Coturnix japonica: one gene and its partners. The protein of the gene in region 1 purifies or fractionates together with the protein of each later gene. This does not show direct contact. Links are inferred from orthologs where the notes say so. Each region holds a gene or a part of one and is shown in the gene's direction. Other genes may lie near its edges. The genes, in order: IMP3, UTP3, UTP25 and MPHOSPH10.

The links.
Region 2: the proteins of IMP3 (region 1) and UTP3 purify together in Homo sapiens (affinity purification with mass spectrometry; 3 studies listed by BioGRID and IntAct, with this or other methods). This does not show direct contact. The link is inferred for Coturnix japonica from reciprocal best matches to the Homo sapiens genes IMP3 and UTP3.
Region 3: the proteins of IMP3 (region 1) and UTP25 purify together in Homo sapiens (affinity purification with mass spectrometry; 3 studies listed by BioGRID and IntAct, with this or other methods). This does not show direct contact. The link is inferred for Coturnix japonica from reciprocal best matches to the Homo sapiens genes IMP3 and UTP25.
Region 4: the proteins of IMP3 (region 1) and MPHOSPH10 purify together in Homo sapiens (affinity purification with mass spectrometry; 4 studies listed by BioGRID and IntAct, with this or other methods). This does not show direct contact. The link is inferred for Coturnix japonica from reciprocal best matches to the Homo sapiens genes IMP3 and MPHOSPH10.

The regions. Positions count from the first base shown.
Region 1 is NC_029518.1:100,139,041-100,146,011, forward strand, and holds IMP3 (U3 small nucleolar ribonucleoprotein protein IMP3), read left to right. Parts: upstream 1-3,200; 5' UTR 3,201-3,248; coding exon 3,249-3,806; 3' UTR 3,807-4,333; downstream 4,334-6,971. Other genes in the region: PLA2G7 (platelet-activating factor acetylhydrolase), read right to left, coding at 219-366, 794-862, 1,510-1,603, 1,766-1,916, 2,985-3,109, 4,868-4,922. UniProt on the Homo sapiens protein: Component of the 60-80S U3 small nucleolar ribonucleoprotein (U3 snoRNP). Required for the early cleavages during pre-18S ribosomal RNA processing. Part of the small subunit (SSU) processome, first precursor of the small eukaryotic ribosomal subunit.
Region 2 is NC_029519.1:44,616,110-44,623,603, forward strand, and holds UTP3 (something about silencing protein 10), read left to right. Parts: upstream 1-3,238; 5' UTR 3,239-3,272; coding exon 3,273-4,910; 3' UTR 4,911-4,982; downstream 4,983-7,494. UniProt on the Homo sapiens protein: Essential for gene silencing: has a role in the structure of silenced chromatin. Plays a role in the developing brain. Part of the small subunit (SSU) processome, first precursor of the small eukaryotic ribosomal subunit.
Region 3 is NC_029518.1:20,191,614-20,199,729, reverse strand, and holds the start of UTP25 (digestive organ expansion factor homolog), read left to right. Parts: upstream 1-3,531; 5' UTR 3,532-5,177; coding exon 5,178-5,278; intron 5,279-6,429; coding exon 6,430-6,469; intron 6,470-7,390; coding exon 7,391-7,640; intron 7,641-8,116. Other genes in the region: MRPS10 (28S ribosomal protein S10, mitochondrial), read left to right, coding at 1,180-1,319, 1,744-1,852, 2,861-2,950, 3,212-3,298. UniProt on the Homo sapiens protein: Component of the ribosomal small subunit processome for the biogenesis of ribosomes, functions in pre-ribosomal RNA (pre-rRNA) processing. Essential for embryonic development in part through the regulation of p53 pathway.
Region 4 is NC_029525.1:4,861,057-4,869,166, reverse strand, and holds the start of MPHOSPH10 (U3 small nucleolar ribonucleoprotein protein MPP10), read left to right. Parts: upstream 1-4,112; 5' UTR 4,113-4,128; coding exon 4,129-4,398; intron 4,399-6,136; coding exon 6,137-6,216; intron 6,217-7,280; exon of another isoform or gene 7,281-7,797; coding exon of another isoform or gene 7,798-7,950; intron 7,951-8,110. Other genes in the region: MCEE (methylmalonyl-CoA epimerase, mitochondrial), read right to left, coding at 7,798-7,950. UniProt on the Homo sapiens protein: Component of the 60-80S U3 small nucleolar ribonucleoprotein (U3 snoRNP). Required for the early cleavages during pre-18S ribosomal RNA processing. Part of the small subunit (SSU) processome, first precursor of the small eukaryotic ribosomal subunit.

The DNA.
Region 1 (6,971 bases):
GAAGAAAACACTCCCACCTTTTAAAGGTCGGCTCAGTGCTTGGAAGAGCTTATCGCTATGGCTGCATGGCATCCAGCAGGGATGCTGCTTATCATCAGGAAGTTGCATTGTTTACATTGCTATAAACCACGTTAAGTGTGTTGAAGGTGACAAAGCAAACAACCCCCTTAAAGCAGACATGATTCATCTCGCTATCCAGCAATAAACAAGAGCTGTACCTGCTGGTGCCGCAGACAGCGCTCCTCCTCCCCTGCCCTGAGCTTCCTGTAGTAGATCCACTCCTTCTCCACACCTGACGCAGCCTCCTCCTCTGGCTCAGAATCACCCTTCTTCTTACAGAAATACGTTGCTGAAGCCGATTCATCTCTGAAATAGCAGCACAAGGTTATTTTGACGTTGTATTCCATTTGGCTTGGGAAAAAGTCCAACAAAGCCTTAGTTTTGACCTGTCTCAAGAGATCAGAGCTCCCAGCCCCACTGAGTGCAGACAAGACCTTGCAAACAACAGAGTAACCCCACCAAAAATCCCATCACCGTTATGTCCTGTGGGTCCTAACAGCAAAAAAGAGCATGATAAAGAGTGACAAACGATAACCACCCATAACAATTCCACTTAAAGCCTCCAAATTAATGTCCCTTTGTACAGCCAGGTGGGAACAGAGCTGGATGAGCGGGAAGCTGAAGCTGAGATGTTAGTTGCTCTTATAAAAGCGAGTTCTCCTACACAACAAGAAGCATTCTGTTATGAGAAAGTTCCTTCCCAGCACAGCTCAGTAACATGCAGTACACACACCTGTGCTCCACAGCTGCCACTAGAAAGCCTTGAGAAGCCATCTCTATGCAGATAGCGGAGTAGATGGTCCTGCAATCCAAAGACACTCTGGTGACCACAGGTACACAATGTTTGGTTACACGGCTCCTTAAACACTCACTGTGCCCCACTCTATTGTGCCTGTTTCAGCCAGCAGGGCAGGCTGTGTATCCCAGTCCCCAAAGGGTGATTTTTGGTGCTTTTTTGCTTTTAGTTGCAGCTCATCTTCACAACATCCTTATGGCTCAGTAAATACCTACACCTCTAATATACAATCACAGAATGGCCTGGGTTGGATCCTGGATCCTCAAGGATCATGAAGCTCCAACCCCCCACCACAGGCAGGGCCACCAACCTCCCCATTTAATACCAGCCCAGGCTGCCCAGGGCCCCATCCAACCTGGCCCTGAACACCTCCAGGGATGGACGGGGCATCCATAGACTCCCTGGGCAGCTGCTCCAGCACCTCACTGCTCTTTGACTTCAGAACTTAACAGGGAAACAAACTAAGAAGCCAACCCTGCCTCATTTACAGGCCTTGATTTCAATGGAAGCATAGTGATATACAGCACCCCATTCTTTGCATCATGTTCAGCCCCACAGGGATCTCGCCCCACCCTGAGACCCACTCAGCACCATTCCTGGATGCTGACATTACTGTGGACAACAAAGAGAGTTTGCCCACGAGCTGCAGTTACCTGAAAGCTCCCAGTCCATGGGAGAAAACGAGCAGTGGGTATTTTTCTCCTGGCTTAAAAGCAGCGTTAGATTTTGCAGGACAGGTCACTGAACCTACATGAAAACAGAAGCACGTGTCATTATTACTGAGATGAGAGACCTACAGACCCGCTCTGTAGGAGATAGCTCAGTAACCCGAAGGCTGCAGGTTTCAGAGTGGCCATCTGAGCATCAGTCTGATTCTGCACACACCTGGGGGACCAAACCCGCTCTTACCAACATAGTATTGGAAAAGCCTTTCCCCCACAGCCCGGTACATGTTGAGGAAGTCACACAGCCCCTGGTAGTACTCTTTGTCCGGAATCCACGGCGTCTCTTCAATCTCTGTGTCGTCACATGATGGATAATACAGGCGCAAAAAGCTGCCCTGGAATTAGCAAAAAAACAAAGGGAAGATTGTAATTTATTGATGTATGGCAATGAAAGGTCAGACTTACACCTGCTCCACCTGTACCTTCATCACAGCATGGTTGGGTTGGAAGGGACCTCAAGGATCACGAAGCTCCAACCCCCCACCACAGGCAGGGCCACCAACCTCCACATTGATACCAGCCCAGGCTGCCCAGGGCCCCATCCAACCTGGCCTTGAACAGCTCCAGGGATGGACGGGGCATCCACAGCCTCTGGGCAGCTGTTCCAGCACCTCACCACTCTCAGAGCAAAGAACTTCCTAAACTTACACCAACGTGTGACACAAGGGCAGTGAAGGAAGCAGCAAAGCTTCAGCCAGACGGGTAATTATATTAACTCAACCCCAGGGTAGTCGCAGTGAATTTCCCCTGATGAGCAACTGCTGAACAACACAGGGAAAGGTCCATTGCCATCACTAGGAATTGTAACTGTGCTCAATGCTCTAAGGGAAGGCTGACTGCAGAGAGAAACCAGCCCCGTTGTGGTGCTGTAAGAGAAGCCAGGTGGAGCAGAGCAAAACCCACGGCTTATCTCTGTGACTGGGTGATACCTCACGGGCCTGGAGAGCAAAACTGCAGTGCAAGATGAAAAAGCAAGAGGATATGAAACAGAAACTCGTAGTTAAGCCCAGCAGATGGTACTGCCGTTCCTGCCTTATCGTGGTGTCTCCCTGCACTACCGACACCCTGTTCTCTGGGCAGACACCATCTCACCTCTCACACTCCGTCCTGCAGCTGAAGCAGCTTATCCTCACCACCAGCCCCCAGCCCCCAGCGGGACCGTCCCGAGCACAGCGGGCAGAGGGAGCCGGGATGGGGCCAACAGCTGGACGGCCCGTGGGACACACGGCTGGGGGCTGCTGGACCCTGAGCTGTGCCCCGCCGGGATGGGATGGGGTGGGATGGGATGGGGTGAGACGGGACGGGACGGGACGGGACGGGATGTGATGCAGGCTCAGCTGGGGTCGCGTACATCAGCCCTGCACACAATCACGCCGTCCATCGGGCTCATCCCGGTGCCGTACCTCGGCCGCGTTGCCGGTCATCAGGTCCGTGCAGCCCACGTTGTGCGGGCCCTTCCCGGCGGGGATCCGGTAGCCCCTGTCCGCGCCGCCGCTGCCCATCTCCGGGGCTGCCTTCGCCGACAGACCTGGGGACAGAACGCCGTGTAAACACCCCGGCTCGGCCCGGCCCGGCTCCGCCCGTCGCTCGCTCCGTGGGGGCGGTGCCGGCCGTGCCCCGTCGCTCCTCCCCGGAAGGCGCCGCGTGGATCCGGGCGGCAGCTCAACATGGTGCGGAAGCTCAAGTACCACGAGCAGAAGCTGCTGCGGCGGCTGGAGCTGGTGAGCTGGGAGGCGGCTCCGGGACACGTGGCGGAGCTGCGGGCGCTGCGGCGGTTCCGCGTGGGGCGGCGCGAGGACTATACGCGGTACCGGGCGCTGGCCCGGGACATTCGGGCCCTGGCGCGGCGTCTGCGGGACCTGGGCCCGGCCAGCGCCGCGTTCCGCTCCCGCAGCTCCGCGCTGCTGCTGCACAAGCTGTACGCCATGGGGATCGTGGGCTCGCGCCGCTCCCTGGCCGTGTGCGAGCGCGTGTGCGCCGCCTCGTTCTGCCGGCGCCGCCTGCCCTGCGTGCTGCTGAAGCTGCGCATGGCGCAGAACATGCGACACGCCGTCACCTTCGTGGAGCAGGGACACGTCCGCGTCGGGCCGGACCTGGTCACCGACCCCGCCGTGCTCGTGCCCCGCGCCATGGAGGACTTCGTCACTTGGGCCGACGCCTCCAAACTGCGCGTCAAGGTGCTGGACTACAACCAGGAGCGGGACGACTTCGACCTGGAGGCGTAGGGACGGCACAGCCGGGCTGAGATACACGGGGAGAACACAGAGCTGCCAGCCCGGCCTGCACACAGCACACACAGCACTGAAATGAACTGAGCTGCTCTGCCCACAACACACACACACTGCATGAGACCTCACTGCGATGCTGCCAGACTAAGCACACCGAGGTGCCGGGCTCACCCACCAGCTGCAGCTGCTCCCTTGCTAAGGATGGCACTGAAGGAGCTTTGCATGAGGCCAAGCAGCCACTGCAGGGCTGTACCATGTGCCCAGTGCTGCTGCCACCCCAGGAAGGCAGGAAGGCTTCTCCAGCCCAGAGCAACGTGCCAGCAGGGAGGGCTGTGCAGTCAGCGAGGGACCCAGTGGTGCATAATGGGACTGTGGGTGTCTGGGCCTCACACAGACAACAGACAGAAGCGGACTTGGCGTTCCTGTGACAGCTCAGAGCGGGGCAGGGCAGGCTGCAGCTCCATGCTGGGGGTGTTAGTCCTCAGCCCAAAAAGGCAGAAATAAAATGTCCCATTTTGAAGAACTCCCCGTGGTGTCTCTTATTGCCTTTCCCTGACGCTTCCCGGGGCTGTTGGTGTGAGCAGCACTTATCTCACTGAACTGTTCTGTGCCACAGCACCGTGAGCACCATGCTCAGGTTGTGTTTGGTCACAGTTCCAGCTTGGAGAAGGGAAGGCTGCAGGGAGACCTCAGTGTGGGCATCCAGTACTTGAAGGGAGCGAATAAACAGGAGGGGAATGGCTGTTTGTGAGGGTGGGCAGTGATAGGACAAGGGGGAATGGTTTGAAACGGAGACAGGGGAGGTTCAGGTTGGATCTGAGGAGGAAGTTTTTCCCCCAGAGGGTGGTGACGCACTGGAACAGGTTGCCCAAGGAGGCTGTGGATGCCCCATCCCTGCAGGCATTCAAGGCCAGGCTGGATGTGGCTCTGGGCAGCCTGGGCTGCTGGTTGGTGACCCTGCACACAGCAGGGGGTTGGAGCTGGGTGAGCACTGTGGGCCTTTGTGATGCAGGCCGTGCTGTGATAACATGAATAGATGCAGAAAAGACGTTCCTTACCTGAAGAACGACTCTTCATGAACAGCTTCCGAGCTCTCACCCACAGCGATGCCATCACTTCTCAGGAAGGGCAGAAGGTCCCACAGGGTGCAGGCAGCTCCCCCTGCTCTGCTCAGGGTTGCTGTAGCACAGGGCTGCTCCCCACGAGGCAGGATGGAAACCTGTGGCTGCACACCACCTCCTTCCGCCCTGAAAGAAACCATCACACCCTTCACTTGTGCACCAGTGAGTCTCTTTTTAAAGGCTTTTTTTCCCCGACTCTGTTCTGTGCTCTGTTTGGAGGCAGCTGAGGGGAGGAGCTGGCCTGGGGACAGCGGGGGGGCTGGAGGGGGGTCCTTCACACTGAGGCCTTTGTGTTGGACCACAAGGCTGAGGCTGTCACTGGAATACAAATGTGCTGCGCTCAGCTGCTGTTCCAGTCAACACAAACTCTGCACGTGGGGGCAGCCTCCAAAGCCCGGTGTTTCAGCGCAGCTTGGCAGGGAGATGATCCAGCCTGGGCTGGTATCAATGTGGAGCTCAGTGGCCCTGCATGCAGTGGGGAGATTGGAGTTTTGTGACCCTTGAGGTCCCTTCCAACCCAGCCATTGTGTGATGCTGTGATACTCTACCCCAGTTTCTGCTCAGAAGAGCAGGAGGTGTAAAGTCCATCAGGCCCTGGTGGCAGATCCTTCAGCAGAGTCCAGAGCTCAGCACATGCCCAGCTATAGCTCATGGGGCTGAGCACTGCCCAGGTAACACGTCCTGAGGGGGCTGTCGCTGCCCATCAGCTCTAAAGGAGCCGGGACGGGGGCTGGGATCTCGCGGGTGGGACGGAGCCGTGCAGGGCGAGCAGGGACAGCCCGAGCCGCGCGTCAGCGCCCCGTCCCGTCCTGCGTCCTGCCGGGACACCCGGAGCCATGTCCGATGACGGCGCACTTTCCCTTTCCTCCCACCCGGCGGAGCCGACCAGCGCTGCCGCGTCCCCCCCCCCCAAGCTGCAAACCCCCTCCCACCCCCCCTCATCTTATCGGGTGTGCTAATAACGCTGTGAGCTCGGTACGGCTCTGAGCTCCTCCCCGCCCCTCGCAGCACCGCCGCCCCTCGGCTCTCGTTGCCCACGGGCAGCGCTGCCCGTACCTGCTGTGCTGTCCCGGCCCTCCGCAGGGAGCCGTGAGCCGGACGGACGGACGGACGGAATGAACACCGGGCCCTGCCGGAGGGGAGGGACCAAACCCCGCCTCACTTCCCAGCTGGGACGGTGTTTGTGGGAGAGGCTTTTCCCCGAGCTTGGAAAGGAAACGTGCCCCGTGGGAGCTGCGTCTCGTGGGGCGAAATCCGGCTTTACGAGCAGCCGGGAAGGGGCCAGCAGCCCGTTAGGGGTGAGCCCCGCAATTCAGTGCCGGCTGTGGGCGCTGGGAGCTGCTCGGGGCCCCACGGATGGCGCAGATGTGCCCATGCGGTGTTGGCCGCTCCGCAGCGCTGACTCGCACATACACAAAGTGAGGGCTCCCAAATCGCATCACAATAACAACAGAACACACGGAACGTTGTGGGCGGTTCTTTGGAGGGGAACGGGAAAGTCGTGAAAGTGCCCAAGGCTGGAAATATCTCCTTTAACGCCGAAGAGAGGCGTTGGAGGACTGATCCCAGAGCTCTGTCTCATCACAGAGCAGGTTTTTCAGGGTCAGCAGGAGGCGGCCGGGAGGAGGAGCGTGAATGATTGCATTAACGGGGATCTTGAAGCCAATGACAGGGCTGTACCCAGCTGAACAGCTCCGAAACCCATCAGTATCATACAATCACAGAACCATAGAATGGCCTGTGTCACAAAGGCCCACAGTGCTCATCCAGCTCCAACCCCCTGCTGTGTGCAGGGTCACCAAGCAGCAGCCCAGGCTGCCCAGAGCCACATCCAGCCTGGCCTTGAATGCCTGCAGGGATGGGGCATCCACAGCCTCTTTGGGCAACCTGTGCCAGTGCGTCACCACCCTCTGGGTGAGAGTGTTGTGGCACTGAGGGACGCGGCCAGTGGGTTTGAGCAGGCAGGGACCCCCACAGGCCATCATTGCACCCTGCAGTGCACAGGGACAGCACAGCTCCTCAGTGCTCAGAGCCCCGTCCC
Region 2 (7,494 bases), on another chromosome or scaffold:
CATTTTTGAGTACCCATGAGGGAAGGAAAAACACCCTGGTATTTAGGGGCCAATTTACTACCACTATCACTGGCACTCTCCCACCTGAAGTGGAGGAGTGTGAGTTAAGAAAGTGTCTGGAGAGCCAAGGAGTGACAGTTCTTGCTCTCTGGTTTTGAGAAGTCAGACTTTGGTCGTTGCAGGGATAGTTTGACATGTTGGGCTTCAGGATCAGAATCCTGTTTCCACCAGATGCTGTGCAACATATTTTAAGAGCCTGACCTGCGCCCAAGGCTTTCAGTCAAAGCAGATAAGATGAGAGGTGGGAGGGGTAAAAGAAGTCAAGCAACAGCATGGCAAGGGCAAAGCTGGGCTCTTCCTCCCATGCTCTGCCTACTGCTTCAAAGACAGAAGGCTCTGCATAAGGTCCCAGGCAACTGTCCCACAGAGAAAGGGGACATTTTCAATTCCCTGACATATGTTAAGCAGACTGGGGCTGTATCTATAGCGTATGCATATACATTGTGTGGAAAAGACTGCTTTGTTAGGGAAGCTCAGCCTTTAATAGCACCTTTTACAAGGGACCTTCAGGCATGTCCAACGGAATAAAATCTCCTTGCTTGTTATTTTCTTTTAGGCAGAAGGGTGGCAGAATGAGGTATGACACTAACAAGCCTGTTCTTAGCTGGGCTTATAACATTAGTGGTTTCCGTGACTTTCTGCTTGCTGCAAGGTTAGTTTATTCATGATTAATAGTAGCACATAGCAAATCCTGTGCTGCTCCAGCTTCTTATGCAGCAGCCACAGTGATACAAAGGCTTTTCACACTGCATGTGCCACTCTTGGCTCCCCAGGGCTCTCAAGAAGCTCACGTCATTAGATAACATTGCTTCAGACCTTGCTAGCCAGCTTCCTAAGCACAGAACTGTTCATAAAGCCCGACATCTGCATTCTGAGCTTTTTCCCTTGGCACAAGCATCTAGCAAGGTGGATGCATGATGCAAAGAGCTTTTGTGTTACATCAGCAGTACTGAAACTCAAGGCTTCCCTGGGGAGGGATGGGTGATTATGATGGGTGCAAGGAGGGCATTGCCTATGCTGTAATTAATATAAACCCTCCTCTTTTAGCAGGGCTCCATCTGCATGGCAGGAGAACTTGCTTTTACTTCATCTCCCTCACCCCAGAAAGTAATTCAAATAGAGCACTGTGGAGTTTCTTTATGAAGCAGGAAGATGTCCATCTTGTGCAAAAGGTTACAGGTAAACCTGGCTAACCAGGGTGAGGAGAGGCAGGGGGGAAATGTCTATCTCAAACACTGTTTTGGTCACTTTTTTTTTATTTATCTATTTATTAATCCAAGGAGAGATTTTTTGAACAAGAAGGGAGAATGGCGACAGTAGAATAAAGCACATTCAAAAGAGGCCTTTTCTGGTCTATTTTGCTTATCTGCACTGATAGAAATATGGCACTGATAAAATTTGAGCAGATGTATCCATAAGTATTTTAAAACTTGAATGGAGAGACCATGCAGAGTGATATTCTGTGTGATTCTGATTATTTCAGTGTTTCTCCCTGACTGCGGCTGTTCAGTGTATCTGAATTTCAGTTGCTAAATCTGCATGTCTACGTGCATGGTCCCATCAGTCTTTATTTGGTGGCATGAGAACTGTTTTTAGTCACACTCAGCCACCTGCATCTCGCTGAAGATTTCTGTCTAGCTTGTAAATTCTTTAGAAGACACATTAAATGACCCCAAAATGATCTGGGCAAGTAGGCATTAAAGAACTGTGCTAGCTGAGGAAAGGCCTGGCACACCATTACTCCAGGCTTGAATCCTGGGCTGCATGGGGAGCTAGACTCCTGCTCTGCATAGGAAGTTTCATGAATGTTACGTCTCATTTGCCAAAACCAAGTTATTGTCTCTACGCAGCCCTGTTAACCAGAGGAGGTGACACCTGACAATTGGCTCTGACAGATCTGAAATAATGTGTATTTGTCTGTGGCAAAATATATCTTTGGTTTGTAAGGAAGTATGGAAAATGTTGACTGAGATGTGACTATGTTGAAGAAGAGACTGAGGCTGCTCTGCAGTCAGATCTGCCAGAATCCAAATGAAGCACCAACAAATGAGTGATGTGCACACCTCCCCCTGCCCCTGCCCCCCCTTCTCTGTTTCAGTTAACCTTAATGCTTGCCTGACGTTACTTTTTCCACGAGAAGGTGGATGTGGGTATGTATAAATAACCCAGCACCTGTTGTGTGGCTAGAGAAAAGCACCTGTGCTTGTTTTGCACAGAACTTCTCTTCCTAGGATTGTGTGGCTGCCAAATTTACCGGACTCGGGGGTTTCTCAGACCATGCTGAGCTCTTTACTGTGCCTTCCTCTGCTCTTACAGCATCTGGCTGTCTGCATTTCTTTCAGTCTACTTGCATGTGGCTCAGCCTTCATGTGATTTCCCAGTGGCAAGATGGGAGGCTAGGCTGTGTGCTGTGTATCTGAGAACAGGAACAAGCAGCCATACAGGATGTGAACGTAAACATCAGGGAATATAGACAGCCTTAAAGACCTTTCTGATGAGGCCTGGACATGTTTGTCTATGGCATAAAAGGGTTGATCTAAAGGAGCACAAATGAAGCAATAGCCTGAAGCAGCACTGATCCCCAGCAATGGCTCCTGCCAGAAGATGCCCCTGCTCCAGGAGGGCAGCAGTGTAGAGAAGGAGGTGGAGTCAATACACATCCCCCAGATGGGTCCAGGGGGTTTTTTCACTTCTCCTCTCTGAAACTTCGATCTGGCTACAGGGAACTGAGTAAGCAGCGGTTTTGGTGAGCAAGCACACAGATGGCAGGTGGCTATTCTGCTTTTTTTGTCAATGTCACAATGTGAATATATGCAGTCAGTGCATTGGGATGTGGCTGTACTTTTAGAAGGGCTCTTTCCACATAGCGTGACTCATTGCTGGTGCATGCCAGGGTTGAGATAATCCCAGTGTGGTGGCTGCCACATCCCCCAGCACCAGCTGTGTTACTCCCCATGCGTTACCATGCCTGCCGTCAGTTCATACCCAAAACATGCTTGGCTGAAAAGAACCACATCTGGACTCGCAGCTGCACTCAGGTCTTCCAACCACAAAACCCCTTGTCCGGGAGCCTGCCCCTCCCAGTGCCTCCAGATGGGCAGCGCTGAGCACGGCCACCATCCCCACGGAACGCCGGGCGGCCGGAACCAGCGGGACTGCGCCTGGAGTTGGGGGGAAGAGTTAGACAACCGGACAGGAAGCGGGGTGAGCGGATGGAGCGCAACAGCGGCGCCGGAAGCGGGGTCTGTGTGCAGCCGCTTCCGCTTCCCGGCACAGCCATGAGGACGCGGCGCGGTACCGTGCTGAGGCCTAAGGAGGGACCCGCCGACCGACACGATGATGGAGAGGGATATGAAGAGGAAGTGCCCGGGCGAGACGTGGGACCCGAAGGCCTGGGGGACGAGGTGGAGGATTTTCACGAGGCGCGGTTTCGGGAGGTGATGGCGGCTCTGGAGAGCGGGGAGGAGGCCGGGGACAGCGAGGAGGAGGAGGAGGAAGAAGAAGTACTGGGACTGCAGCTGCCCGAGGAGGAGGAAGATGACGAGGAAGAGGAGGAGGAAGATGAAGGTGAAGGTGGTGAGGAAGCAGGGGGACTTGAGTCTTATGAGGACCGCAGTGCAGAGGAAGATGGGGGAGATGAGGAGGAGGAGGATGAAGATGAAGATGAAGATGAGGATGAGGAGGAGGACCTGTCCATGGAGAGTGATTTGGAAGAGCGTGGTAAGGACACTGATCTCCCCCATGAGCTGTCCTGGGGCCGACGCAAACAGCTGTACTATGACACAGACTATGGGAACGATGCCCAGGCTAAGGGCAAACGGAGCCAGCAAGATGTTGATGCTGAGGAGGAGGAGGAGGAGCAGGAGGCAAAAGTGATCCAGAAGAGGCTGGTGGAGGACTTGGGGGAAGATGATTATGGGCTGGATGTGATCCAAGGCTACGTGGCGGAGCAACAGAAAACCCATGATAGCAAGGGGCAGAAGATTGCTAAGGATTTGCAGACCCTTTCCAAGAAGGAGCAGCTGAAGCTGTTGAAGCAGGAGTCTCCTGAGCTCCTGCACCTGATTGAAGACTTTGAAGTCAAACTGATGGAGCTCAAGGATGAGCTGCACCCACTGCTGCAAATGGTCAAAAATGGCACCATCCCACAGGGGAAAGGCAGTCGCTATTTGCAGACCAAGTATCAGCTATACTTGAATTACTGTGCCAATATCAGTTTCTATTTAGTTCTGAAGTCAAAAAGGATACCGGTTCATAGTCACCCCATCATTGAACGATTGGTTGCTTACAGAAATATCATCAATGACCTAGCAGTGATAGATCAAAAGTTATCCTCACAGGTTCGCCTGCTTCTGAAAAACTATTACGATAAGAAGGAGGAAAAGCTCCGAGAGCGGAAGAAGTTTCCAGTGCTTCTCCAACCAGATGCTAGGAAAACCAAACGAAAAGGTGAATCTGCTTTTGCTAATGGCCAACTTGCTGCTGAGGAACCGGCAGATGAATCTGACCTGGATGGAGAGGCTGCGCTAAAATACTATAAGATGATGGAAGAGAAGCTGAAACTCAAGAGGAAGAGAACAGAAGAACAGGAAACATTTGAAGAACCAGTGACAGAAGAGGATCCAAACCAAAAGAGAGGTGTGACTTACCAGATGATCAAGAACAAAGGCCTCACCCCGAGGAGGAAGAAGATTGATCGCAACCCCAGGGTCAAGCATCGGGAGAAGTTTAGGAGAGCCAAGATTCGCCGGAAGGGCCAGGTCCGGGAAGTTCGGAGGGAGATACACAGATATGGTGGGGAGCTCTCTGGCATTCGCGCTGGTGTTAAGAAGAGCAGAAAGCTTCAATGAAACTTATTTTTCTCTGTTTCAGAGAGCTGCAAATAAAAGTTCTGAATGCAATAAATTGTTCTGTAAAAGATACTGTGTTGGTTTTGTTTGTTTGTTTGTTTTATCCTTAAGTGGGAGTTCTCCTTTGAGAGTTTTTTGTGTTCTTGTTTGTTTCTTTTTTTAGGAGGGTGCTTTTCAGAAGGTGCCATCTCTCAAAGTAGTACAGGGCCCCTCCCTCACTTTGCTTGTTAATTTGTTTTCCTCTACTGTTATGTCCTATGTTATGAATATGGCTTTGAGAGGCTGCAAGGCTTGTGTCAAGCGAGGGGATGGATGTGGACCAGACAGGGCTTGAGGGCAGCAGGAGAGAGATGGAAAGTCCTTTGGAGGGTGGGGTGAGAAAGGAATTCACTGTTCACTGCCACTACATCCTTACTGTGTTCTCCTGGCCCGTAGGGCTGAGGTATAGTTAAATGGTTATGGTATTTCCTCTTGATTTATGCTATGATTAACTTGTTTTCATACAGTTAAGAATTAACTATTACACTCTCCTAAATATTCTTTCCTTAGTAACTAAGCAGAGGCTATTGCCTTAAATTGCATATGACCTGTGAAACCACTTCCCCTTCTTGATAATTCAGTGAGAAGCAAAATGAGGACTCTGCTGGACTGCATAATTAATTATTCATCTACCATAACTACATTAGCTTAATCTGTGATAAATGTGCTAACTGTTGTTTGCTGTTACAGATCTAACACAGCATTGATAGAGGAGAAACAGGTAAGATGTCATGTTATTTTCACCTTATAGTTAGTATGATGTTACCAGAGAAACCAAAATACGAGTGTGTGAAGCCATGACAGGCTAGGTGTTCTATTTAAAGTATGCAAACAATGCTCAATTTCTGCATACAAAATGCACTTCTATAGGGCTTAATGCAAACCATTCTATCTTGGGCCTTTTCCTGCCCAGGATCGTGGATTTCTTGCTGACTGCAGAATGTTTTGTTATTTTTTTATAGCTGTTTGTTAGAGGTGAAAAAACATCAGACACCAGATGTGTGGAAATGGAGGTAAGGAGACCTTCTGTAGTCTTTATGTCCCAAATCTGTGTGGTAAGAGCTATGCATGGCAGTCTCAGAGGGGATTTCAGTCGGCAAATCTATGTAGCTCAAGACTGAAAGGACAAGTTCTGCAGGCCTCACTGGTCCTGTGTTTGTTTGCCCCCTGCTGCTCAAAGGCCAAACAGCAGTTCAATACTGCGTAATGGCCAAAAACAGAATTGCTCAATTCAGGCTCTTACTGCAGCTCATTGTGAATTGATTCCCCTCCCCATGAAGTAGCCCTGGAGGTCTTTGCCTGCCTGCAGAGTTGTGGTGTTTCGTACCACAGGAGGTAATGGGAACTAATGAGTGTGGATGGTAGTGGAGAAGTAAACCTTGGTATTTCTGGTCAGTGCTGAGACTTGTCTGTGCTGTTAGCAGGTCTGTGTGTAGGGAGGGGAAGGGTTGAAGGTATGTACAGGAGAAAGGATTCATTTCTCATGTCCTGAAGCCACAGCAGTGAGTGTTTTAAGGCTGAAATTGCCATCTGAAGCCCTGCAACTGACTTCTCCACAGAAGCTCAGCCCCTCAGGTTGGGGCACTTGCTGAATCTTTGTTCAAGGAGTGTCACCAATGCAAACATGAGGCTTTCTTGAAGAGGTCATACAAAATGCCTTTCTTGCTTGTGTGATGCTCTTGCTGCCCTTATAGCACCGAACTACATCATTCTATTGACTGCACTGGGCCGACAATGGAGGCCACCACTGGCAATGCTGAGGCTTTGGGATGAGGTCAGTGAAAGGTAATGTGGTAGGGAAAAAGCAGCTTTGTTGGTAATAGATGTTACAGGGGATGTGAGAAATACCCTGCAGAGATGCTAACCGATCTCATTACTGCAGCATCTGCTCGTGCACATTTCACACTCTGTATGAAAAAGAGAGGCTGATGCACTTCCATAAATTGGCAGATAAGCTGTGAGTATCCTCCATGGCTTTGGATTCCCTTGAAAAGCTTTAGGCAGCTGGGGAGCAAAATTCTGGCACCTTCCATGTGAGCAGTAAATAAGGGATATACACTGTGATATTCTTACAGGCTCACTGTTCCAGGAACGCTGGGGTTAAGGCTGAAGGCGAGAGCAGGCAGTGTGTGTCAGCTGCCCACTGCAGGCAGCCGGCAGATGGCACAGCGTGTCTCCCAGGACTGCTGCACCAACCCGCTTAAATGAAGATTAAACGTGGCATTTTGTTCAGTTGGTTGGCTCAGAGATCGGGCATAGCCATAAATACTCCTTTCCAGTAGGGCTGTGTGTATGAGTAATCACGACTGTGATTATTACCATGGGAGGGAGAACACCACAGTGTTGCTCTGATAAATGCTTCTTAGAGGTACGTTTTGTGATGTGAAATCCCTGATGGTGGGTAGGTTTTCAAGACCCCTGTAAAAACAGATGCATGTGAAACACGGGAAGGACCGTAGGCAATAGTCAGGAAAAGAAAGTGGAGCGGGTTGGTGGTTAAAATACCATCTTTTTGTTCTCTCATTCAGAGTGAGCCTTTGGAAGT
Region 3 (8,116 bases), about 80 Mb from region 1:
TACTGCTGAGCAGCACTGTACAGAGCCATGGATGCTTCAGCATCTCAGCTTCTCCTACTGCTCTGCCAGCGAGAGGACTGAGGGGTACAGGGAAGGAGCAGGAGCAGCTGACCTGAACTATCCAAAGGGATATTCCGTGTCATAGGGCATCTGCTTCTAAATGCTTTGGAAGTGGGAGGAATTGACTGAGGGGCTGGTGCTGCTTGGGGACTGGCTGGGCATCGATCAGTGTGTAGTGAGCAGATGTGCTGTGCATCCCTTGCTTTGTGTATGCGTATAGAGTGAGAGAGGAATACACAGATACATATTTCTTTATATTATTTATTTATGTATTACATTACTATTGTTTTTGTCCTCTTTCTTTTCTGTTGCAGTAAATAGTTTTTGTCTCAACCCACAAGTTCTACTTTGTTGGTTTGTTTTTTTTCCCCCTCAGTTCCCTCCCCACTGGGAGGGGGCAGTGAGTGAACAACTTGTGGTGCTGAGCTGCCTGCCAGGTTCAACCACCACACAAACTCAACCTTTTTGATATGTCTGCTGTGTGCTGGAGTTACTGCTCTGAACTGCACGGGAGTAAACCAGGGTTTTTCAGATGAACAGTGGGCCCAGGCCATTAGAAATGAATGGTCAAACTAACAGTCATAAAATTGTAACTTGAGATTCATAGACTTCTAACCTGGGCAAATAGGAAGGATAATATGTGTGGAGAAGACTGGTGTGTTTACATAGCTTTACTTTAGGAAGGTGAGAATTCTTGTACCTGACCATAATGATAACCAAGAAAAACTTGAGAATTTCATGTATTTTCACACTTCTATTTAAAATGCTCATATTGCTGCTCCAGACTTGCTTTAAAAAGAAGTTATTTTTCTTGCCTTTGCAAGTGTTGCCCTTTTAGTTGGCGTTCCCTTTGCATTCTTGATTGAGAAATTTTGCCTGAATATTCAGAAGTCAGGTTTCCCTTTACACTTAGCAGGGACAGTAAGATGAAGGACTGTTGATTGAGATTAATACAGTTATCCTCTTGCAGGTAAATATCAAATGAGCAGTGAGAGATGTGCATGTGTATTTTTTTTCCTCTTTTACAAATGGGGCACATGGGCTAAGAAGATACGTAGTGACTGGGTTAATAAAGGAGAACATGGGGTGGTAACACTTGCCTTTTCTTAAAAAATACAGGTGTCTATTTCAGATGAACCAGAAATACTCTACCGGAGGCTGTCCCTTTTAGTTAAAGGCCACGATAAAGCTGTGTTGGACAGCTATGAGTATTTTGCAGTGCTGGCAGCTAAAGAACTTGGCATAACTGTTGAAAAAGTGTAAGTAACCAATCTGTAGCACGATGTGATGCTTCTTACATCATCTGCTGTAACTCTAGTTCCGCGCTTACAAGTATTTTCCTTTTGTAGAAGAAATGAGTTTAATCTGACATTCTTTCTCAAAATATAAATCTGACACTTCCCAGATGGTGGTGTGGGGATGAGAAAGCAGAAGCAGTGCTACTTGCAGTGCTGCCATAGTAGGATTGCATTGTAACTGCGTGAAAGACACCAGGAATATTCTTGTTACAGTCATCGGTGCTGCTGTAGTGTTAATGCTAAACTGTACCAGTACTTCATACTGCCTTGTGGATCTTCTAAATGTCAGATAAGAGCAGATTTCACTGTAATCTCAGATAATTTATATTAACATCATTTATGTAAAATTCAATATTACAACATTTTCTCTTTCTACTTTGTTCAGACACAGACCTCCAAAGACGATAGAACGACTTACACTGTTAAAATCTGTACACATTTACAAGAAGCACAGAGTTCAGTATGAAATGAGAACACATTACACCTGTTTGGAGGTAAGAAAGATGTAAAAGGAAGAAATATTGATTTAGGTAGTGCTGGGAATATAGTAAGAGAGAGCTGATGTAGGTACATCAAATGTAGCAGAAATTGTTCTGAATGTACAGTCCATCTAATTTCTGCCTATAAGGCTGATTTTGACAAGTATATGGAAGAATGATTTAAAAATAAGGTAGGTATCAGAGTTACCTTTATATATTTTATGCTCTCAATTTCTAATCTGTGGGATAAGAACTTTCTCAAGGAAGGGAAGATGCTGCAGGTAAGTTACAGTCATTGCTAGTCACTGAGCATTCTCTTCTCCATGAGTTTGCTTCATATTTTGAATGCTTTTGCCCTGTGCAGCATCATGTGACAAACTAAAACTGGAAGGGGAGAAATACCAGAAAGGAAGTGTGTACAAACCACTCGCTCTGTGGCTGGTGACGCAGACATATATATGGTCTAGAATGCAGCTGTGGTTGATTTTCTTAGAAGAAGTTTACTGCTGGCATTTTGTGGCCTCTAGGGTCTATTATGGTATAGTTGTGCTTAGTGAAATGTGTCTCTGCCCTCAGTGCTCAGACAGTAGAGCAGTGCCGATGGCTGCCCACAGACCATAAATACAACTTCTGCTTTCCAAGAGAAACTAGAATCAAGAACGTGGTAAAATTCTGGAGTTGGGGGATTGCTATCCAGTTTGAATGTTGAGGGGTATAGCAAATCTGAGAGTTCTTGCATAACACACAGTTTGATCTGATACTTGCAGTATTAAGGTCCATCATTTCTATCATAATCAATACGTATGAACACACAGTATATACAGTTCTGCATGAAGTTGCTGCTTTGTACTTGCATAAGATACATACTGCTTACCTGCCTGTGGTGAATTCTATGGGAGCTGGCCTAGTGTAAGATGCTTGGACCCACTGCAAAAACTAGAGAAGTCAGAGCAAACTCCTCCTTTTCTATATTCTGTTTGAAGTATTATCCTTCATTAATAAAACACATGACTTCTGTTTTAGTTAAAACACCTCACGGGCAGTACCGCTGCAGTGTACTTAGAGTATGTTGAACGAAACTTACCTGAAGGGGTTGCCATGGAAGTAAAAAAGGTAAGTTCCCATCTCATGTTCTTAACTGCTGTGAGATTAAATCCAGATGCAAGTACTAATAATTACTGAATTTGTTAGAAAGTCAGTATACACATGTAGTTGTAAAGACCATTTTGTGTTACTATTAAAAGGAGGATGTATTACTGAAAAACGTCACTAGGTGGCACTATTAATCCAATAAATATCTGAAACCAAAATAAAGCAAAGCAGTTAGATGTTGACTAGTTGATATAATAAATCGTTTCCTTCCTTCTGTACTAGACTAAGATAGAGAAAATACCTGAACACATCCAGGAGCCAGTTTGGGATACACTACCTCAAGCAGAAGAAACAGAAGTGAAATCATGAATTCACCAGGTATTTGGGTGTTGGTACTGGAACTAGTTGCTCCTATCAACCTCAATTACTAAGACAGTCTGATAAACTGATAAATAAATGTCCTGTTTTATAAAATAATCATGTATATTCTTGTTTTACTGAGTTATTCTTGATCGTAGCTCCAGAACTTGTAGACTGATGGAACATGTATGAAGTGAAGAAGCTTGACTGCACACTCTGATCAAAAATCGTGATCATCTGTAATGTTATTAGAAAGATAAAGCATATTCCTAAATAACCTAGATCTCCATTTGATAATGAGTGGCGTCTGAATTCTGAAATACTTAGAAAATCCTGCTGGCGTTAGTGTAATATTTAAGGTAAGGGATGCCAAACTGTTAGATGTTCTTTTGATAGCGCTGCTTTGAAATAAGTAAATCCCAGTTGCATATTCAGCTTGCATATTAACACGCAACAAGTCAGAGAATGCAATCTTAAGGAACACTGAGGCATGATGAGACTCTTCTATGCTCTTACAGTTCCAATAGCGTCACTTCCAGTATTAACTGTTTGCTAAAAGAACAACACATTGATTCCAGTACAAGTATCAGCTTTTTACAGGTTTAAGTCTAATTTTATTAAGTAGCTGTAAGACCACATTGCAAAGTAAATGGATACTAGAGAGCATCATTGTACATAGGACAAACAGTGTACTAAATACTTTATTTCATGGCACCACTCTTTCTAAAGTGGTGGGTTGGTTATTCAGTAAAGCTAGTCTAGCTGAACACTGGTTATGCTTAGAGGGAGAAAAACAGTACAGATAGCAAAAGGGTGTTCAGCTAACTTGAGGGTTACTTTGCTGTGAATCAAAAGAGACACTGCTAGATGCAGAACAGTCAGTGGCTTCAGACTGCATTAAGCACTTTGGCTTTACTAGGCTGGCAGTAGCACAGAGCTGTGGAAACCTATTTTGACTGTAATTTAACTACTGTTAAAGTAATTCACATAAATAATGCCTATGACCAGACAGCTAAAGAGCCTGGACCATACTTGCTGGCAGTACTTAAGCTCACATTCACTAAAGAAAAGAAGCTTAGTGTTATTATCAGACAGAAGTACACAGTTTTAATGGGAAATAGCTGAAAGATGAGAAGCCAAGTTTGTGCTTGAAGATCAGCTGTGTTTTCTAGTTGTAGAGAGGCCCAAAGCTGTTTTAGTGGGTGTTTCAAGACAGTAGAACTGATACCATTCATGACAGAGGGGAAGCTGCCTGAGCGTGTTCTGCAATATGCCCCAGAAAACAAAAAAAAAAAGTATTTAATCAAATCCCTTAGAAGGAGATATACTGCCTGGTTATCCCTTGAAACTATTTGCTATCCACAGTTTCCAGCTGCTCCTCCTTTTAGTAATAATAGCATTTCTTAAAATCATATCAGTTATATAACAGTAAGGAAGAAAGTATGTGCTGACCTGGTTAAATGATGCCCCAGAGGAGCAGCTTCTTTCAATTCTGTATGATATTTTCTTCAAATTCCTTCCAATTGACATGTCTTAGTTTTACATAAGCCACCTGCCAAATCCCGGCTGTATATAGTATCACAATGCGCTTGTGCTGGGCGCTAAGTCTTACACCTCCTAGTTGGATGCTCAGTAAGGTTAAAGGGCTGTCTTTTATTGTCTTTGCTGTTCTATTCTGGGCCTTCGGTTTCTGACTAAACGGCCGGTCAGTGTGGCTTTTCAGTTGGCTGAGTTTTAGTTATCAGCCCTTAATAGGATCAGGCTTAGGTAGGAGCTGAGGAAAACGTTAACCCACACAAGCAGCCGCACTCAGCACGCCGCCACACGGCAGTACGACAGTACGACAGCCGCCCTTGACGGCCGTACCGTAAAGCGCCTCGCTGCCGGCATGGGGAAGCGGCGTGGCGGCAGGGAGCTGGTGCGGGGCCTGAGCAAGAGGCAGAGGAAGCACCTGCGGCAGTTCGGGGAGCAGCACCCCGTGTGCGACCGGTGAGCGCTGCTGGATTGATGAGCTTTGCCCGCAGCACGTGTGTCTGTTGACCCCTCTCGGTGTGTCAGTGCTTAGTGCCCCGGGTAGGAGCCCGTGCTCCAGAGAGCAGCCCCCAGGAATTGAGGAGGGAGTTTAAAATGTTGCCCTTCATGACCGGGGAAATGGTTTTAAGTTAAAAGAGGGAAGATTTAGGTTGGATGTTACGGGGAAGTTCTTCGCTAGGAGAGTGGTTAGGTCCTGGAACAGGCTGCCCAGGGAGGTTGTGGATGCCCCGTCCTTGGAGGTGTTCAAGGCCAGGTTGGACGGGGCCCTGGGCAACCTGATCTAGTAAAGGTGTATGTTTGGTGGCCCTGCCAGGCAGGGGGGTTGGAACTACATGATCCTTTGAACAGTGAAGCAGGAAGCAGATGCTCCGCTAAAATTCGGAATAAAGGGGGGCTAAAAGGGGGATAGTTAAAGGTAGTTTATAGAAACAAGTAAAGGAAACTTAAAGGTAGTTCATAGAAATAAGTAAAGGAAACTTAAAGGTAACAAGTAAAAGAAACAAGGGGCCTAGGAGAGCAGAGAGGATGCAGAGAAGCAGTGAGACCTCATGGATGCCCAGAAGAGGAGTTGCATTCCCCCTGATAAGAACAAGAGGGGGTCTGCATGCTAAAGAACTATTGAATATGTATCAGAATTCCGAGAACTATTGACTATGTATTAGAATTCTGAGAAATCATTGACTATGTATTAAATGTACCTATATCTGTGTCACTATTTTACAAGTCGCTGTGCAAGTTTGGAGGAGCTATCCCCCTTGCACCCAGCGCTGTGCAACACTGGAATAAACATACCTGCTTTATAACCCATCTCTGGATTATAGAGTTTGATTCTGCAAGTCACCCTGAGGTCCCTTCCAACCCGGGTCATTCTGTGATTCTGTGATCGCATGCACCCGGGCTTCACACACAGGCTGCAGCATCAGCTCAGAGGATTTTGTCAGGGTGAGCCCTGACTCTTTCCTTAAGGAGAGCTGTGTGATGCTCTGCCTCTCAGTTCTCTTTCAACTGCTCTGAGGCTCAACAATTTCTTCCTTTTCTTATCTGTGTTTATTCTGTGCAAAATATCATTGACAGCAAGATATTTTTGTGTTTTTTTTTTTTCTCAGGGTTTCTGGAAGACCAGAAGCAACTCAAATATGTGAACTGGTAATATATTTTTATTTCTTCCTCACTTTACTTGTTGTATGGTTCAGCGAAGTGGAATGCTGTGCCTTTCTTGTTGTTCCTTTTAGAAAACCTGCTTTTAGAAGGAAAAAATGAATGATTTTTTTTGTGATTCCAAATTGTTCTGTATAGTGTCAAACTCGTAACTGCAACAACAAGAGACAACAGAAGAAACGGGATACAATATTGCTATTCTTGTTTGTCTTTTAATGCTACTTAGCCCTGGCAAAAAGTGAAACATGCTGTAAGTTATTTTATTAATACACAGTGGTGCTTGAGTTAGAGAATGAGATGCTTTGTTCTCTGCTGAATGAAGAAATGTTGATGCTCGTTTCTGTTCTTCAAATTACAGTGCTTCAGTTTTCTTTCAGTTAGGACTTGTGAACCTCCTTTGTCATCAGACCAGTTAAAGACTTCACAGTTGTAGTGTGGAAAAAGTAATGAATGACTCTTATCTGTTAAGCACTTTTTTATTTTTATTTTTTGCATTTATATTGCATTTACTGAGTTTTCGCTTTGTGCTGAAAGGAGCTAAGAAGGAATGGTGCTGTGATTGTAGTCCTGTTTTTGCTGTGATGTTGGCTGTAACCTGGCACATTGTTCTTAGGCCTGTTTGTCCACGAGAACAAATGTGTTCTCCAAGGCTGAAAGAAACTAATCTTGTGATGCTCTGAGTCAAATCAGTGCAGAAAAAACACCAGGACATGGGTCTGCCATGGTCCTTTCAGAATCTGTGTGGAAATGTTCAAGATAACTCTTCACATAGAATGGACATTAGGGGAAAATCTCATTGCATCTGCAAAGGGCTGGAATGACAAGAAGGAAATGTAGTATGGGAGCTGGAGCTGAGGGTGTTTGCTTGCTGTCTAATGGACTGCTGCTGTTAATTGTTTTCACATTTAGTCTGACAATTCTGATAAATCAAGTGCGGAAAGCGATTCAGAGACTGAGGTGGAACAAGTCTCTGTCTATCACAAGCTTCTGGCTACCCTGAAGGCATCTCCTGAGTCTGAGAGTGAGGAGGAGGAAGATGAAAGTGAATCAGAAGAAGCTGAGGAGAGTGAGGCAGAGCTGGACAGTGAAGGGTCCCAGGAGCCCAAAGAAGCTGTTGGAGATGAAGAAGAGCAGGATAATGTACCAGAGCAGGAAGAAGGTAGTTTCTTTTGCTATGCTTTGGCAATTATTGTTTCAGTTAGAAAGTTTGAATAATGTCTGGTTTTACCCCTGATCCTGGTGTACATGGGCTGGTTGGCTGGGTGCTCCTCTGGCTGGGAGACTGTTGCTCCATTGCGACTTTGTGATTATGAGTAGCAGCTGCTGGAGTATTTAGCAGGGCAAAGGGTAGCTGTGCTCATTTCCCAGCAGCCAGCCTGCTGCTTCTTCCTCAGATGTTTGTGCAGCAGCGCAGGGAGAATCCACATGGAGCAACATACCAGGGGTTCTCACCCACTTGCTGGGAGATACAAGCTGTTCTCTCACACAGCATCTGGCTTGGCTGCTGCCACTGAGCACAGAGAAAGGTTTGCCTTACAGCAGAGGAAAGAGTGTTTAGATTTTAAGGAAACCTCCTCCCATATGAGGAGACATCCTCATTCATGAAGTCCCCAAGTAGATTCTAGGATGACGGAG
Region 4 (8,110 bases), on another chromosome or scaffold:
CATGCATGAATATATTTTAGAGTATGCATCTCCAGCATTACATCATACAGCCTTATCATATGAGAATGATGAGACTTCTCTCATCTCCACCTACAGAGCTTCTAGTTCTTTCCCTTTTGCCTAGGTGGAAGTACCTATTAATCCTGCAGTTATCTGTAGCATCTCTGGTCTACTCTAACTCACTCCTCTTGAAGTGCAAGTCATCCCTCTCTGCTGCAGTAGGTGAAGACAGTAAGTACTGCAATAAAAAGGAAAGAAATGTAACGTACTCAAGTGACAGTGCATTTACCTATGAGCATCAGGAATAAATGCTTCGTTCTGTATTTGTTTTTACCAATGGTATAAGATCTTTCTTCTGGAAAATGGTACCATTAAGAGATGAGACTCAAGTTTTGAGAAAGTTTAGACTTGAAAGCAAGCCCTCTCCTCACAGATGGCATAATAAAGTTTACATGTTGTGTGTTTAGCTTCTGCAGGCAGGACAATCCTAAAGCACTGAATGTTTCAAGACATGCATGGTGCTTTCTGGTGTTGCTTTTCACACAGTCTTCAAAGGTAAATAGGTCATCAGGAAAAAAAACAACAAATCCATCAATGCATAATCCTAATGTTTGGTTGCTCTCCCCAGTAGATAAAAAGCATTTTCAAATATCCAAAGTACTTACAATGAACACCGTAATCAGCAATTGCATGTGTCGTGAAGCATCTAAAAATTCATGGATTTGGGCTCTACTTGCAAGTCTTCCTCTTAACTTGTGAAATCCATACAGCAGCACTGGTGCTTTATTTTCTCCAGCTCTAAGAACTACTGCTGTGTCTCTTGCATTAAGGTTCCAAGGCTTTAACTGCCTGACAGGAGTGGCAAAAAAAACCCAAATACTTAGAGAGTGCATTCTTCCTTTTATCTACACCAACATTAAAATATGAATTTATCAAGTAAATATCTCCTCCGCATGAGGCATATAGTAACGTATTCGTTTATCAGCAAAGGTAATGATAGTTGGCCAGCGTATCATACTGATACTACATTCTGTCTTAGCTGAGATACATGGGTAAGTCTAGTTCGTCCTAAAAAAAGTTCTGTGTCGTGTAACATCTAATTCTTGTATCAGTTAAAGATAGGCACAAACATACAACTATTTGCAGGACGATATGAAAATTCAGGTTGGAAAGAACACTGGAGGTGTCTTGTCCAACATTCTGTTCAAACCGTGGTCTTCAGAAGGCCCAGATCTGGTTGTTCAGGGTATTATCCAGTCTGGTCTTAAAAATCCCCATCGATAAAGACCACACAGCCTCTCTGGGCAACCTGCTCCCATGCATCACTGCCCTCGTAGCTGAAAAAATTCCCTAAATATCCGGCTTGAACATCTCTTGTTTCAGCACATGCCTGTTGTGTCTCATTCTCTGCCACACACCACTGTGAGGAGGTTTGCTCTGCTTTCTTGATAACATCCTTGTAAGTACTGGAAGATTGTCCTCCAACTCTTCCTTTCTCGAAGCTGAGCAATCCCCACTCCCAAATTCTCCTTTCATAGGGCCTGGCCTCCAGCCCAAACCACTTGGGTGGCCTCTGCTTAACACACTCCAGTTCATAAACATCTTCCCTGTACTAAGTGTGCCAAAAACTAAGCACGATTTTACAGATACAGTATAATTAATGTAGAGTAGAAGGGGATAATTACTTCCCTTAGTCTACTGGCTGTGTTCCACACAGACCAAGATGCTGCTGGCCATCTTTGCTGCTAAGGCACACATCTGGTTCATGTGCAGGTTCATGTCCACCACAGCCCCAGAACCCTCTCAGCAGTGCTACTCTCCAGCCTCTATTGTTGCAGTGGCTAAAAGCATGGGCTATTTTATTCAAGCATGGATTCAATAAGAAATGGATACAGAAGGTCATTAACTCTAGGCTTCCTCAAGTGAGGATGGGTTCAAGGTTTCAACCAACATTTAGTTCTGAACAAGAAGATCTTTATTTTTCTCTGTGATGTGGGAACCAGGAACAGATCCCTTCTTGCTGGATTTCTTCACCTTCAGCACAGGAACATAACATGGAAGAGGCTTAAGCAATGGTATTTTGGGAAATTAGCAAGCATTCTTGTCAGAACAGCTGGAGATGGTACAATTACACTTGAAGTAGTTCTTCATGTTTACAGCGTTAATCAAAGGTCACTTCTTATGGACCTAGCTCTTGTTAAAATTTATCTCCAGCCTCCAACTTAAGCTGGCATCAACCAAGTAACTCCACAAAAGATCACTCTTCAAGATGCCCACCCCCCCCTTAGAATCATAAGACTGACCAAAAAAGCTGAGCCACCACGACGTTTGCAGGAACTCTTTTTCTTTATGATTAGAGGATCAGGGCGAAGCAATAACACAGCTGATGATTAGGGGCAACGCTGCATCTTTAAAAATAGCCTTAGCTATTTCCAAGTGCAGATAAGACCGAAACTATCACAGAATTTAGGCTTTGGAAGCCTGACAGTCAAGGTTTACAAGGACAGCTCTGCAGCGTAAAACGTTATAAGCCTATAAAGGAAAAAGTACAGCAGCTTCCCCTTCTGTGGTTCAGTACCCATAGCACAACATACAGAAATAAAAGGTCCATCCACCTTGACTGTCCCACACAGAGAAGAATCTGGATTATATAGTGATCAATTTCCATCTCATGCTGTAAGAAAAGCTTCAATCATATGCTTTTCAATATACAGATAACCAGCACGTACTGTGTTTTTACTTTTAAGTGCTGATAAACAATTACACAAAAAATTCTCTTTAAGATTATCTTATGTAGAAATACTATTGCTTACACACAGCCACACAGAACTGTGATAGCAGTTGCTTCTGTTGTTCATTTCTGCTGCTAAAATGAGGGAGCACTGGGCAATAGGCAGAATAGATAGAATACCTTCTCTGCAAACAGATTTCCCAGCCCCCCTCCATGGAGATTATACAGTGGCCTTGACAAGGTAATACAACTGAGACATTTCCATTTCTTACCCAAATGAGCCACAGTCATTTCTGACTTTTCTTAACCCTCAACGTAATGCATATCATCTTTGAATTGCAACCAGATTTCTGTCGCCTTTATTTACACTCCTTATACGCCCTCAGTGCCATGCAGCAGCCGCCAGGATGACACTGAGGATGCTAAGTACAGAGCCCTGTAAGCGCAGGCTGCCGAGGCAAGGAGCCAGCCCTCACCTCTCGAGATGCAGCCAGAAACGCAGCATTCCCCTCCTCTCCCCCACCCCCATCCCTTTTGTTACGGCAATACAAGAATTGGATTCAAAAACTGCTCCAAAAGGGGAAGGCAGATCACCATGTAATGCCTGCTGCTGTTTATCCCAGGAAAAATTGGGAGCCCCTCATGGAGCAGCTTTTTCCCCTCCAGATCTGATGACGAAGGGAGCGGGGGAAAAAAAAGAAAAAAAGGATAAAAAAAAAAAAAGCTAATGACAATGTTTGATCCGTTTGCTGCATGGGAGGCATGAAATCAGAAACAAACTCCTAGCGGTGCTGCATTGCATGAGGGCTTCTCCTGCGTTTCGTCTGACCATTAACGGACCCTCGAGCCTCCAGCCCTGCAACAAAACCCTGACACTGTGCGTGTAGCCGCGCCGCCCGTCTGCACCGAGCGCCCGCATCAGCGCACGGAGCCGAGCGGAGCCGGGCGGGCCGGGCACAGCGCTGGGGGCGGCCGTCCCGCGGGGAGCACAGCGGCACAGCGGCCGCCCGGTGCAGCGCCCCGACCATCCCCGCGGGCTCCGGGCGGCCGAGGGGCGGCGGGAGGAGAGCGGCCCCGCGCAGCCCCGCACGGCCGAGCCCCGCGCCGCCATGCCGCAGGGCTGCCCCCAAAGCCGGAGGGTCCCCCCTCGGGCACAGCGGTTACCGGCGGCGGGGGACGGGCCGGGGGCGGCCCCGCTGCCGCTCTCGAGGTGCGCGGCGCCCGCTCGGGCCGAGGTTCGCCCGCTCAGCTCCGTGAGGCGCCGCGGGGCTCCCGCTCCCCCGAGGAGCCGCGGGGATGCTGCCGCCCCACCCGCCAAGGAGCCCCGGCCCCGCCGTGTCGCCGCCCGCGGGGTCCGTGCCCTGCGGCCCCGCTTCTTACCCTGGCTGACAGCCGCGATGCCGGTCCCCACCCCGCGCCGCGGCGACCGACACGGGGGCAGCAACCGCTCTTTTGTGTGCAGCCTCGGCGCCACACACCGACACGGCTGGTGGGCCCGGGAAGCTGCGTGCGAGAATACAGCCGGCCGCCCGGGAACATGCATGGCACATAGCGCCACCGCCGCGGCGCCAAAGGGAGACGGGGAGGAACCCGCCGCGAGCACCACTCGATCGAGACCCGCGATTCGAGCCCGACTCAGCACCCCGCAGAGCGGCCTGAAGGACGGGGTATGGCTACAGGGGGGATAGGGGTAGGAGTAGGGGTAGGGATAGGGATAGGGATAGGGATAGGGATAGGGATAGGGATAAGGATAAGGATAAGGATAAGGATAAGGATAAGGATAAGGATAAGGATAAGGATAAGGATAAGGATAGGGATAGGGATAGGGCGAGGGGAACGGTTTGAAAGTGAGACGGGAGGTTTAGGTTAGATATTAGAGGAAGTTTTTCACACAGAGGGAGGTGATGCACTGGAACAGGTTGCCCAAAGAGGCTGTGGATCCCCATCCCTGCAGGATTCGAGGCCAGGCTGGATGTGGCTCTGGGCAGCCTGGGCTGCTGGTTGGTGACCCTGCACATAGCAAGGGTTGGAGCTGGATGAGCACTGTGGGCCTTTTCAACCCAGGCCATTCTGTGATCCTGTAGTTTTCCAAGAATGACATTTCTTATGGTCAGTGACAAACCCAGTTGGCTTCTCGGTCGTTTTACCAGAAACAACGAGATCTTCCCACAGGGAGGTGATTGCAGTTACTGGGTAAATTAAGGAGAACATGTGAGATGGAGTGCTGCTAGGCCAGTTATGACAGGACTTGCTCATCAATATGCAGATCTCAGACTTGTAGTTATTGACTCTAAAAGGCAATCTTTGTAATGACAGCAAAAGTGAAAAGCCGCCTTAATGTCATTGTATTGCGTTCTGGTCAGTCTCGATGTTCACTCTGCATCCCGTCCAGCTTGGTACGCTTTGTTTGCCCTGCGGTAGCTGTACCAGTTGCTTAGCACCAACTCAAATTCCATCTATATGCAAAGGCCTTTCATGGAAACCCAGCTCATGGATTTTTTGTTTGTTTAGGTTCAATTTCTATTAGGATTCACACAACAGCTATTTGTTATTAAGCTGCTACATTTATCTTCTTTTCTTTTTGTCTGTGGTACCAGCCACTGATGCAGAAGTGAGGTTTTCCTTCTCATTTAATGCAAAATGTCTGGTCTCTCACAGTTACTTGTTACTTTAGAACTTTTTGTTTCCTTTAAATCATGACTTAAACTTATCTTTATTACTGGAAAAAATGCAATGTAAAAGTGAATTAAAAGGTTCATTTAACATCTTATGGAAGATTTTAGTACCTGTGTACTATTTTTATGGTAACAAAGCGTTAACAGTTAAAGATCACTTCAAATTACATCTAGAAATGTCACAAAATACTTCAAAATATATCTACTTTAAACGTTTGGAAGAACTCTTCCTAACTTGTGAATCTATGCTGTACATTGAGCAATTAACTGTGCTTTTAATAACGTGAGAGACAGTGCAAATGAACATGAAACACCAGAGATAGCATAACGTTATAAATACTAAAGGACTATACAGTTTTATGAGGCAAACATTCCTCCTTCACAATAAAGTAAATTTGCATTTCATAAAACATTCAAACTGCTTTAAAAACATTTATCAAAGGTGATAGAATTTGTGTTTCCAAGAAGGTGAGATCTTCCATTTTAAAGTGTTGGCCAATTCCTTTGTAAGTTCATAAGTAAATCCCTTGTAAGTTGTTAGTTTCCATTTCCATATTAATCTTACACGATTCAACATTCTGTGATTTAAACTATCAGTTTACTGACTACTTCTAGTGCAGCCCAGTACCAGTATGAGAAGTGCTAGGAATTTTCTTCTGCTTCACAGTCTAATAATTTCACAAATACAGTGATAAAACAATTAACTCTTACCTTTTTCTCTTAACTATAGGTTCTGGAGCCCAACAAACCCAAGTCCGTATCACTAGTGGAAGAATTTCTAATAAGGAGAGAATCAGCTGAGCCCTTCCTGTTAGTATCTCACCATTCCCACATTCTGCTGTTTTCCGGTAAGACCTTCTTGGTCACATCAATTTCCATTAATCTGCCACAGCAAGACAGTCCAAATCCAAGGACTGTCCTTAGCAACATGCAGCAATACTTTGGCATGTGCATTAAGAAAGATATCCCATTCAGGAAGTGGTGAGAAGAAGTTTCTCTTGTCATTCATTCACAGCTTTCCAAATGGTCAGTCTCACAACCGTTTTAAATGCTGCAACTGTGGCTTCAAAACAGAAGTTATTCCAAAACTTACGATAAACTGGGTAAAGATGGTAATAATGATCACAAATCCAAACTGATGCACTATTTTTTCTTAAATCCAGGTGGATTAATTGCAGACTGAACATGATAAAACCAGAGGTTTTTCTATCCTAGAATAAAATGAACTTATTTTAGATCAAGGTGGAACAATTCACAGTATGTGCAGGAAAATAAAAAATGCAGGTTGTGGTTTAGCTGGTAAAAATATTATTTCTAAGGACTGGGAAAAATAATGAGAGAAACAGAAAGTATTCAGCTTTTACAGTTGATATCAAAATGAACTTAGAAAAGTATCAGGACAAACACTGCTTGCTTAACACACACAAATAACATGAGGCCTGGCCATGAATAAGTCAACAAACTGTGACTGCAGTCTATGAGAAACTAAGTACACTGGCATGCTCTCTGATGTGAGGAGACTGTACACAACCAAGATTCATGTTTCTTATGCTTTCCAGTGATTCTGTAAGCACTTCTGCATTAGAAAACAGTATTTGTAAAGCAAGTGATTTCCCACTATTTGTTCAGGTGTCTCTCAGAGATCTTCCTAGGGATAAAATCTGAAAACAAGTATTCTCTGGCTGACACAAACAAAAATGCAGGATGCATCTTAAAGTCTGAAATATATCTCTATCATGTCATTTTTCAGACACTTTCTTCCCGTTGTCTGCATATGCAGAGTCCGTATAACAACATGATGATTTACGCTTGTAACTTCCTCACTCATTAACTGTTATGCCAAGGAAAATGTATTTAATGATTTCAGATAGCCATACAATAAAATATAGATTTATTTATTGCACGAATCAGTCAATCAGCATGAAGCACAGACAGTGAATGGCGAAAACAGAAAGTACAATGTTCCCTTTCCCTTTATTTCTAAAGGGGGTATCTAAGCTTTTACTGTTGTCACTGAGAATTGGGTCTCTGCTTTAAAATGTAGAACAAAATAATGTGGAATGACCTAGAAACCGTACAGTTTCTGTGGTTACAGAAGTAAAGCCATGCAGCAAGAACATGAGGCAACAGAACAAAATTACTGTTATAAATGCAGCTTGGCTTAGGTGTACATCTTGAGAATCATAGTGAATTCAAGAAATGTCAACACATTGATTCTGAAAATCAAATGCGGGAAAAAGAAATCTGCAGCACTGTCTCATTGCTCAAAAGCCGTACTTAATCCACAGGAACTACAGTGAATTTGTAAAGAGTGAATAGCACATCAATATTCTCAGCACCAGCTCAGTAACTTCACAACTCATTTATTGTCTAATTTATGAATATTGCAGCTCAGGCTTGCTCAAGTTCCACAAGGACTCCGTGGCAATCTTTAGGGTGAAGAAAAATCACAGGTTTGCCATGTGCACCTATTTTTGGCTCTTCGCTCAATATTCGAATCTTTTTTTTCTTCAGTTCTGCCATGGCTGCTTTTATGTCATCAACCTTATAAAAGAAAAATACTGTTTACAGAAGTTCATCAGAAAATATCCCCAGTCTATGACCTGTTCCTTTTTCTTTTTTTTAAATCAAAATTAATCAGAACAACAGCATTTACCATTACATTTCAGAAGTTTCCTGCAGTAAAATGTAATTAACAAAAACC